2 linked regions of the Neodiprion lecontei genome follow. The protein of the gene in region 2 interacts with the protein of the main gene of each other region in a pairwise test. Links are inferred from orthologs where the notes say so. Each region holds a gene or a part of one and is shown on either strand. Other genes may lie near its edges.

Evidence for each region.
Region 1: the proteins of DNA replication complex GINS protein SLD5 (region 2) and probable DNA replication complex GINS protein PSF2 interact in a two-hybrid assay, tested with the Drosophila melanogaster proteins (2 studies listed by BioGRID). The link is inferred for Neodiprion lecontei from reciprocal best matches to the Drosophila melanogaster genes Sld5 and Psf2.

The regions. Positions count from the first base shown.
Region 1 is NC_060264.1:16,899,183-16,905,565, forward strand, and holds probable DNA replication complex GINS protein PSF2, read right to left. Parts: upstream 4,375-6,383; 5' UTR 4,250-4,374; coding exon 4,005-4,249; exon of another isoform or gene 3,898-4,004; coding exon of another isoform or gene 3,887-3,897; intron 2,730-3,886; coding exon 2,621-2,729; intron 2,443-2,620; coding exon 2,281-2,442; intron 1,983-2,280; exon of another isoform or gene 1,972-1,982; intron 1,543-1,971; coding exon 1,498-1,542; 3' UTR 1,425-1,497; downstream 1-1,424. UniProt on the Drosophila melanogaster protein: The GINS complex plays an essential role in the initiation of DNA replication.
Region 2 is NC_060261.1:11,940,322-11,945,614, reverse strand, and holds DNA replication complex GINS protein SLD5, read right to left. Parts: upstream 2,559-5,293; 5' UTR 2,413-2,558; coding exon 1,759-2,412; 3' UTR 835-1,758; downstream 1-834. Other genes in the region: transient receptor potential channel pyrexia-like, read left to right, coding at 4,283-4,542.

The DNA.
Region 1 (6,383 bases), on a different chromosome or scaffold from region 2:
CCGTAATACCCGATTTCCCTTGATTCTGCGCGCACTTAAAAAAATTGTACGCTTCAAAGTCAGTCACCAAAATGTCTGCCTTTCCTAAGTCCTAATGAATCGAATGGGCACAACTAGAACCATGATCAAATGATTTTGTAGAGCTTTTTTTTACATTTTTACGACCTCATCCCGTGATAATGCGACGGTCTGGATGTCTGCCTCTTCGATTTTCTTCGTTTTTGGGATGATTTTGACCAGTAGTCCAAACGGCAGACATGATTAAATAATTTACCACACCCTTTTTTTTAAACATTTTTGAAGCGCTGTAACTCAAAAAGTCCACGACATATGACCTTCGGCGACTGGACCAATTCGATTCGTATTGATCTGAACTTTCATCCCTATCAATGTGAAACATGATCAAATCATATATCATTTTGGCACCCAGCTCCCTAACTATAAGAACCTGCGTTCTTTCTCTCCGTATCAAAAAAAAATAAAAATCGCCGACAATCACCTTTCTAGGCCTCTAAATCAGAACACTGCGTTCAATACTGTCTCATATACGGAGCATCCCATTACATCTCCATCAAAATTAGCGCATCCGTGATGTGTTACAGTTACTCTGAATTTTTTTCCATACGAACACTTTTCGAAAAACAACATTGCTTCTCTATCCAACGTAGATACTTCAATTGCGACTAGCTGAAACAGTATTTCGATTCTATGCCTACGAAAAGTTAAGATCGAGAGAGCAAAAGAAAAGTTGTTGGAATAATTACGAATATTAATGTTGTGGAATAGATCGAGCGCGCGTCGAAAAGAATCCCATTTCGAAATGAATAATTGTTCTAATTTCATATTATAAACGTATTGTTGTAGATAATCTAGTTTGTCTCCTGGAAAATTATAAAATTTATAGTATGCATCACGTATGGATCATATATATTAATATCGTACGTGGACCGCATATACATACCTATATACTTTTTGGTCTCTGCATCATTATGACATCTGATCTATCATTATTTATCATCCATGTATACATACTTTTCCCGGGTACCTATATTTTAATTAAATCACGTTTTTGCTAGGAATTTTGGAAGAAATTGATTCTCATTATTAATTTCTTGAATCGCTGACGATTCGGTAACTTTATAAGTCGGTAAGTACGCACAAGCTAAATATTGACTTGGGCTTACCATTACGACGACTGTGTTAGTCGAAAGGTTATTGCAACCAACATCATGTCGTGATCGGTAACCGTCTGATGCTTTGCAATAAGTTCCCAACTCCGCCGCTGGAACACCGCAGAGGGCGTAAGCGCGCGGCGAATTTCGGTTGTCACACTAAAGCCCGTAAGGCTAACTGTCTTTATAGTCTTCAGTCAACGCCAGATATAACAATATTAGATGCATAATATACTGTCAAAAACAAGTAACTTTGGAGCGTAAAACAATTATCTTATTGGCTGTTACAAGTATGAACAATTTTCTACACTATATTACAGGTATTCTATGAACGCTGTGTGTCCTGGGAATCTCTTGGTCTGCTTCCACACTGAAAGATAAAGAATTTCGTTATTTCTAACCTGTTTTTCGATTCCAAAGATATGTAGGTATATGAATACGAAGATGAAAATTACACAATCTTGAAATCCAGGTCGGATTTCAATAACAGTCACACAGGAATAAGAAGGAAATTGAAGTGTTCAGGTTTAACGCAATGAGGCTGTCTTTTTAAATTGCGATTTGGCAATTTGAAATGTGCCAAAGTTGCAGTAAACCGCAAGGCACAAATCAAAATGTACTTCTTTTCGAACTAAAAACCCGGGAAATATTCTCTTATAATGTTAAATAAAGTTAACTTACAAACTTCAATCTCGACTGAAACTCACAATAATCATTACAATGAAGTAGTTCAGGATTACTAGTTATCATTTACACAGGTCAAAATATAGAAGGTTGAAAGTTTGAATAAACTTTGTAACTTCTGATCTCCTCATTTCAGCAATACTGTGTTCGTTTTACAAAATTTTCGCATGCAATGAGGTTTTTGATACTTTTGAAACTTTGGGAAACAAGTCTCTACACCCATTTCTTAAATAATTGACTGAGTATTGATTGCAACTTTACATTCATGTCAAGTTGTTACGAAATTATGGGCTGGTTTGGAAAAAAACATTCTAAAAATTCCTAGTAATTTTTCTGCAAGAACAGAAAGGATAGAAAACGGGAAGTATACAGCTGAACATTATCTGTAAAATCATACATGGCTTGGTGTAAACAAAATGCATACCGTTTGAATGCGATCTCGCTGATCAAGAGCATGAGGTAGCGAAGGCCGTATGCAATTTATTTCCATCGGTGTCAAATGGTCTAGTTTAGCAAATGCGCTGTCACTTTTCATGAAGGCATCGACTGAAGTACGTAATTTAGACATACGAATATCCCACAGATCCTAGAACAAATTTTAGCCCTCTTGAGTCTACAAAAATAACAATTTTAATGCAAAAATTTTTGTATCCACCATGTTGATTTTCGATTATCTGATCTTAAATTCAAGGGCTGTGAGTCAGAAAACTTTTGAACGATTATTCGCAGTGCATAAAATGTGAGATTTGCACAAATTTGATCACCTTAACAATTGTTCTGATCTCTTCAGCCTGTGGAATGTCTTCTGGAGCTACACCCAAAAGCATGAGAGTTTCGTCCATGTAGTGATCACTAGGCATTTTTGTGAAAAACCTGAAATACAAAGTTTAATCAATTACTTAATATGTAGATTAATTATTGAAAAAAACATGTTATAATTGAGGCTGAGCTATCACAGTTTTCATGTTTTCATCTTTCGCATTCATTCTGTATGCTCCACAAATACAATGCTTATGATATTAAACACCACTTCTTAGGTAACACTAGAATTGCGAGTCAAATATTAATTAATAATTGAAAATTGTTATATTTAAAAATTCATTGCACAGCTAATGAACTTTATGATAAAGATTATTGAAATTTGTGTTCGGGAAACTATAATTCAGGGTCAATTTGACAAAACTCTCTTCGTCAATATAAATCTACACAAAAAATGTGCAATTAACTATGTAATTAATGAAAATATCGACTATTTATGGAAGTTCAACTTGGCTATGTGGTAGTGTTGAAAGCACATAATTTTGATAATGGTAGCTTACGATAATGTGTATAATTGAAAAACTTAGTCAAGTTCATCATCTACGAATCAGTTCTCTAAGAACCCCGCATGATCAATGAGACTTCATACCTTGTTTATATTCATATTTTTTATGCATGTTTACGTAAATAGCAATAACATGAATAGTCCTAAAGTTGCGTAATAATTTATTTTTCATAAATGGCATTATTGCATTACACTTCGAATTCAGTTATGCATAGAGTTCTATCTATCAAGACTGTAAATGTGTATCTTTTATCATTCTCTTACACTTTGCACGAATGTTTTAAGAATTTGTGAACTTTATTTCTGTAGCTTGTCGCTACCTTCAACTTCGTTAATCCAACCTCAACCCCACTAGAGAAAAGTCATTAAAACAAGGAACGGTACATCAAACCACATTCATACGTAACTTATGTAACGACATGATTGATATTTGAGAAAATGAAAATTTTAAAAAATGCATCAATCTGTGTTGCCATCTAAAATAATGCATAATTTGTCATGGAGCTATAATTAGTAACATTAACGTAACGAAACGTTGGAATAAAAGTAAATCATTACTTTGCAGCTTCAGAAATATTTTGGAATTGGTATTTGTATAATTGGAGTTTGTTAATGCTGAATTACGGCTTACTAATTATCAGGCGGTTTCATTGTTAAGAAATAATGATTTTTTATAAAAATGTATAGTTATATTCAAGTTACGAACTTCAACTTCATGATTTGTTAAGAAATGTCAAGAAAGGTTGGGTTAGGTTAGGTTGACAGTAAGCAGATTATGGGATTCCGTGAATTTGGAATCGCGTGGGGCAAATATTAATAGTAACTTGGATGTTTTTTCTTCGTCCTTCACGTCTATCAATAGCTTGGCGTCCATCCATTCTTGACCGACAATGCGACACTTTTGTTGTTGTTTTAAATTAACTGCCAACCAAATCGGAACTTGAGTAGGTAAGCCGGCTCGAAACGGTCCAATTGATCCAGATATCAAATGAATCTGATTGAAAGTGAAACTTGGTATAATTGTCACCAATTGTTTCTCCCCCAAGAACTCCACTTCATTTGGATCCATGTCTTACAACAGAATTGTTTTTCTATCAACGACATGTGTATGATTTTATAACTTGTTTCTGCTAATCGTTGCGAAATTTTTCGACATTTCAAGTCTGAAAAACCGACGTCGTGAGGTGCAATTAATCGACTAATGCGATTCATCAAACTTTCGATTACCACGATATCGATAAAATATTATACCATTCTTGATTGGCTGCACTGAGTGCGTTTTCTCCAGGGTTTCGCTCTTCTCATTGGTTAAAAAATGGGGAAATCGCACTCAGTGCAGTCGGTTGGAGACGCGATTAAATTACTAGAATTTGAGCAAAAATCAAATAAGCCAAGCATATTACCCGATAAATCGTCAACGCTTTGGTCCTTAGATTACATGCTCTAAGCAGAGATGAGTAGGGAGATCTCCAACGCTCGGCTTTTCGTGATACCAGCTAGGTTGGAGCGTCGACGTGACACCTAGGCGGCCACGCACCGAAGGTGGCCCATTTCCGACCTGACACCTAGGCGGCCATGCACCGAAGGTGGCCCACAATCGTGCATATATAGATATACTCGGTCGCTCGAGCAAGCGGTTGCCAATCGCATCCTTGTCCCCGCTCGCACTAATGTTTCCAGGAATGCAAGAATTGGGATTTTTTTGTTTCAATTATGAATGTCAGCGAATAAAAGTATCTCCAGATTTGATAAATTTTGGATTCAATTAGCGGACGCTGAACCAAAATAATTAACCATTCCCAGCCCGAATACTTCTTTTTTTTTAATAAATATTATTTTTTTATTGATATGAAAATATGTGACGCCTGGTGTTCTCGAATATTTGTACGCGCTGTCTATGGAAAAATATACGAAGCCAGCTCGATAACATTTATGCAAAATGTGCAATGGGCAAGTGGTTGGAGGAAATTTTTTTTTTCTCGAACTGAATCTTCCAGAGAACCATCAGCGAATTCCAAGCAAGCTCCATAAACATACCGAGCAAACGCGCGATCACGGACGTAGCTGTGGTGTGGCTGAGTGGATACCACATGAGGATGAATTTTCAATCACAGGTTTTTGCGCGAAGTTTTCCTGTATTTAAGTTAATTACTACTGCCTTTGCTATAATACTGCATTCAAGTCTTAAACAAAACACTAAAAAATAAGTTAACCACTTAATGTAAAACAAAATGTTAGATCGAGCTTAAAATTTAAGCCGGAGTTACATAAACTAAGATAATTACAAGTGCAATATTGTAAATATTGAGCATTTATTGTTCATCTAAATAAATATGGTTTCCTCCTCAAAAAAAAAAAAAAAAACATGAGGATGGAGTGATGCGGGACACGGGTTCGATCGCAGTTCACTCTTTTTTTTTTTTTATTTTTAAATTCAATCCCGGCTTTTTTTTTTGTATTTTCGGAGAGAAAAAACAAATCAAAGAAAGAAAATTTCGAGAGCCGGTCGATTTTTTCCTTCTTTCCTTTTGCTTTTTTTTTTACTGAACCCACCTTTTTTGTAGTGGGGGTAACCCGGAAGAGAACAAATAATTGAAACAATAAAATTCCGAGAGCGAATCGATTTGTTCCGCGTTTTTGGCGCCTCTTTTTTGATATGGAAAAGTTTTGACAGTAATGGAAAATAGAGATTACTAAACGCAAATGTATTGTTTTTTAATAACACCGGCCCACAGAAAAAAAGTGGCCTGTACTTTTGACCGGACCTACCTATCTTTATGTATTTTGACGCGCTGAATCCGAATCTGAAGTCAGTTTTGCCCGTACACCCTCAAAATTTTGAGTAAATTGCAAAAAAACCATAAAAATCGCCAAAAATTAGCATTTTTGGTAAGAAAAAAATTTATGGAACTATAGACCAAGTATGATTTTTATGCATTTTGGTCCGCTAAACCCAAATCTGAAGTTTATTCAGCCATAAGCCTTTTAAAATTTAATTGGGCCGGTGTTATTAAAAAACAATACATTTGTTTTTAGTAATCTCTATTTTCCATTACTGTCAAAACTTTTCCTTATTAAAAAAAAAACGCCCATTTTATATCAGTCTTGACGAGCATTTCTTAAGAAGTTTGAGAGATGCGAGATCGGAACGACAAAATTATTTCAGTAGCAACAATGTATGGACCCCTCTCCTTTTCTGATAT
Region 2 (5,293 bases):
AATACATTACAAATTACATTGGCGTTTCATGATTACAAAAAGATAAAATACAAATTATATATGTGTATGTAGAGCGGAATGTTTAGAGGGATGGCGGGTGTGCTGGACTGAATGGGTGCGAACCATGGTGCGAACGATCGGCAGATGAGTTCGAACGACTGATTCCAAAGATGTGAGAACGGTGATAATGTGTGAGCGAGCGGGTGAAAGAAAAGAGAATGGAAGAAGGAGGCAGTCGGGAAAAGCAGTCTAGTGTGTGTGAGCATCAAGGTGTGTGAAATGTAAATCATTGAGAACCTTTCGAATGTTTATTTGTACTATGTAAATAGATAAATGAACAAATCGAATGTAAGAAAGGGAACTGGGTTTGTTGAGCATTGGGCATAAGGTGGTCGTTATTGCGATGTCGAACAGGAATAAACTATCAATTACAATTGTGAAAATTACCTAATATCTCTATTCGATCTCGTATTACAATTTGTTAGTATAACTTTCGTTAAAGTCTTAATCACCGTATTTTGAATAAAAAATTTCTCGTTGCGGGTATCTACAAAAATATACGGGCGTGTACAAAGTATATGTATGTGTGTACCACATACTCATATACTAAAATATTTTGTATTTTACTTTGTTCTCATTAGAAAATGAAAACGTAATTTGTATTTCATTGTTGCCTCAATCACAAATTGCAATTGCAATCGTTGAGTAATTACGATTTTGTTCATTAGCGACTGCCCCACTTTGTGCCGATTACCTCTATAATTAATAATCGAACACCAGGGACTATTCACTAATTCCCCCCCAAAAAGATTAAAGACATGGTTTGATATTTTGTTCAATTTATTGTTTGTACAAAATTCTCGAGATTTATATGCTTCGTAATTATTCCGTAACAATATAACAGGTATCGCAAGTAGTCCCTCTAAAAATATCATTTTTACAATTGAATTATATAAGGCACAATTGATGATTAGAATATTACAAATTAGAACTTACAAATTAAACTAAAGCTTCGCTAAGAAGTTGAACAGTTAAAAGACAGGTTTTGGATTTTCTGAAGCTGGAATATTTAGGTTTCACTTATAGTTTTGTGAGATGGATATAGGAGCCTAAAGTATTTCAAGCTTTCAACCATTTCTGTTCATTTTTAATCATTGTTTACGGACTGTATCAATGTATTGGCATAATTGTTCAAAACATAAGTACTTAGGACTGTATTTTCATGATACAGCCGAGGTAATGGAAATATTCGAATACAAATGAACAAATACATTGAATTAATAAAATGCATCTATTTAATCTAATTGGAAGAACACAACGTTACTTCAACAACTAAAAAAATACAACGATTTTAATATATCGTATATCTTTATGGTCAACTGTATTGTGAATCTGATACCATATTACTATATAGCAGAAACAACCTAGCAGAAACTATTATTGGAAAATCTATTTTCAAATAACAAACACTGTGATTACTTGAAAATTATAGAAACCGTGATTTTTATTCACCTTAAGGATGATACGAAATTTTACCCTAACAAAATAGTCGATGGTTAAACTTCTGAAGTTTTAACTCATACTGTAGTGACTTTGTTCTACTTTATTCTACGGAGACATTGAATTCACAAAACCTATGTTCAAAACATTAATTGTGCTGTTGAAATTATTATTTGATAATTTTTGTTTTCGGTATTGTTATAACTAGATTATCGATCATTTTCAACTTGAAGTCAAACAAGATGTGTTACGTGACATCTATATCAATTGAACTGCTCCTTCTTTCACTAAGCTTGCGATTGGCTGGTATTGAATAAGGCGCTGTGCACCAGCCGTCAAATCTATTTCATCATTTGTCGTTCCAGGCACGATGATTCCTTGCACAGGTTTGTTGACTCGCAAAAAGACATGGCTGTTCAAGTTGGGTTTAACAGTCAGTTTATCAACTTCGAATGCTTGAAAATTAGCAGGCATGTGTTGAAGCGCAACTGTTCTGAAAAGTGTTTCAATATTGGCTAAATATTCTTTAGCAAACTTGCGTTCGCCTGGAGTTAGGTAAGATTCTTCCGGACTCTTTTTGTCATCTTCTGACAGAATGTGTATGGTGTATTGTTCAATTTTTTCTAACCTCGTTCGCAGGTAACTCTTTATAACGAATCGTATTCTATCGATTTCCATCTTATGAATAGCTAGCCTGATGTCACCCTTTTTCAATTTTTTCATGTTCTCTTCCATGTGAGAAATTTGTTCGAGCATACAATCAACGAGTTCTGATTGATGAGGTAATATCTCTGGTGCAAATTTCTCGTTCAACCAAGCATTTTCAATGTCTTGCAATACTTTGCCGGGCGTGAATTCTTCATTGTCGCTAGAGTCCAAGTGCTCTGAAACATCCGCTACGCTATCGTCCATTGCAAGACAGAGTGACAACGGTTCTCGGGACCGAATGTGAATAATGCGTGGAATAATGTTTACAAAAACATGAACATGTCAAATCTTACTGAGACGAGATGTCACCAATTGACTATGCCATACACGACCGCAAACTATAGGAAGAGTAGATCCTCTTCTGCTTCGGGGCCATCTCCACGATGACTTTGGGAATGCGTTCCAATGCGTTCCGAAATCAATCTTCAGTGCCGTGATCAGCCATCTTTAATCTCTTTTTCACTAATTTGCCTCTACTTTACGAACACTTTCTAGTCCTCCTTACCTCTACCCGCCATATCTTTTGAGCTAATGACTAGTTCTGTCTGTACATCTCTGGGTATATTCCGCCAAGGAACTGTGGCAGTCCAGTAATATCATATTTTGAATTTTCTAACTCGCGGTTGGTGGTATTTACTGGTCATTTACTGCCAAAGCGTTCCACCAATTGACAATTATTGTTTGAAAATGTTATCTTCATAATAAACAATCAATACAGCATTAATAGCGTGCATGTATATTTCTATTCAAACCCTATTTACACCTTCAAATAATGTAACCTGCATAATCGAGAATTGCTCTAAAATTATTTTATGAGCCATCAACAATTTGTATTTCAAACATTTCTTTACATTCGCGCTGATGTATACGAATTTATATTTTAAATACAGTACGCAAAGGGATCAACAATGATCGCTGCCCGTAGTGGGAGATGTGTTTGCTATAAAAAATAAAATAGTTTTTATGAATATGTAAAAGGTTTCTTCCCAGCAAACTATAGTTCATTTTATGAGAATCATACAATTTTCACTACTATCAACACTGCTGTTTATAAACGAATATTTACCATTGTCAGAATAATGATTTTTTCAAATGAGAACGTGATGATTTTTCACAAATCGTGAACTATTTCATTTTTCTGAAAAAATGTTGGATTTCAAATCGATGGTGATATTTGTCATGGAAAACTTGTAGATTTGTACAAAGTAAAAAGTATAGTTGCCTCATCGATAGCTACACTTCTCCGAGAGAGGGATAAGTTTCCGCGAAACCAATCCAAAGTTTCCATTGAAAAATTAAGGTATTTCACAGTGTCGTATAGCAAGTAACGGAGACTGAGCTAATTTATTTATCATGATTCCAGATTCCTATATCTATATGATTCTTTATATATATACATATATTCTATTTCAATGGTGAACATCAGGTTTTTGAAAAATATACCTATAGCCAAAAAAATTATACACAAAATCATTATCGTAAACGTTCACTATATCTCTTTTACAACTCAGGTATCGAGAGAATCAGTCCGAAGGTCTATAGCACATCGCATAAAAACTTAACGATATGCAAGATTAAGGATCCGCTATTAGTCAATTACCTTAAAAGGATTTAAAATCAATTTGATCCACCGATCACTGAGAACCATTTCAGCGATATTTGAGTATATCAGCTTAGAATCACTTAGATGTAATTAAAGCGACAAAGATTCTACGAGCTGTCATGACGTTGTTGTAAACAGCCTGATAGCGATTAGGAGATACTGCATCTAGTCCATTTTAAAGATTATGAATCACTAGACTAGAGGCCTATACTGGTAACCGCCTCAAGTATGTACGGTTATCGTAATCTTTAGTCGATCAGTGTGTCAGGTATAACTGTAAAAAAATATAATTCCAGCGTATTTGAAAATACGTACTGTCAACATCGATTCATTTTAGTACTGACCGAAGGTGAATCCGGTTACAGAATATATGTGTCTTAATATTTAAGTGTAAAACAGTTGTTGCAGTGTGTCAGTATTCAGGTAGTCGATTTTTACGAGTTTCCCCGTGTCTTCGTCTATACATAAGAGATGTCGAAGTATGGCTACAACAGTTTGCCTACCGGGGAACCGGATCCTGACGATGAAATGCGAGTTGCGTTGCCTCCGTTAATGGTCACGTTGGCTGTACCGTCAACTCCAAACTATCCGATGTCTCCCTCGCCAATGGGGTCATCGGAAACGCTTCCAGAACATCAAAATGCCAAACGGAGAATGGATCGCCGTCTTATGCGTCTGAATACGGAACTCCTTCAAGCGGTTGTTGACGGAAATTTGGCGGAGGTTGAACGGTCCGGTATATGTTAATTTTGGTTCCGCTATTTCGAATTTATCTTGAAATTACGCAGCCTTCCTCGGCAAACGAAGAAAAAATAAAAAGTATTGAACCGGGTTTATTTTAATGCCGTTAGCTACTAATCCAAAATTTTCAAAAAGACGTATTGCGTTGTGCGAAAATCCATCCGAATTGATTGTTCTATTGTTTGAATATGTGTCTACAGCTGCAGGTTCTTCATACTTTCTTATGTTTGAATTGTACCGCAATTTCAATTTGATCCAATGTGTAACGCACAGTTTCGTTTCTATCCATAATTCCTATTCGATTCATTTGAAAAAAATTGAAATTAATCTGGAACAAAGTCAATACGCCTCAAACAATTCAATTTCTATTCAGTTGTTTCTGTTCGAATCCTATAACGATTTGAATTCGTGTAAATCTGTCAATGGTGAGTGGGTACCTTTTCGCCTCAGAGTATTTTCCACAGAAACGTATAACCCACGATTTTATTCGATACAGCATTATTCGACACGTACTTATAGTACGCGAGTATTATACTAAACAGAGTTATTTTACTCGGGTGTTATTTAACAGTAATTCTTGTACTGAGCCGTCCTAGTAGATGTGATCGCATGGACGTATTTCAAAACGTTCTAGTTGTACCTTGGAATATAATTTTCTAAACACTTCGAATTACACTCAATATTATAATTAATTGATTTTAAACATTTTAATAATTCCTATCAATCCCTTGTAATCGCTAG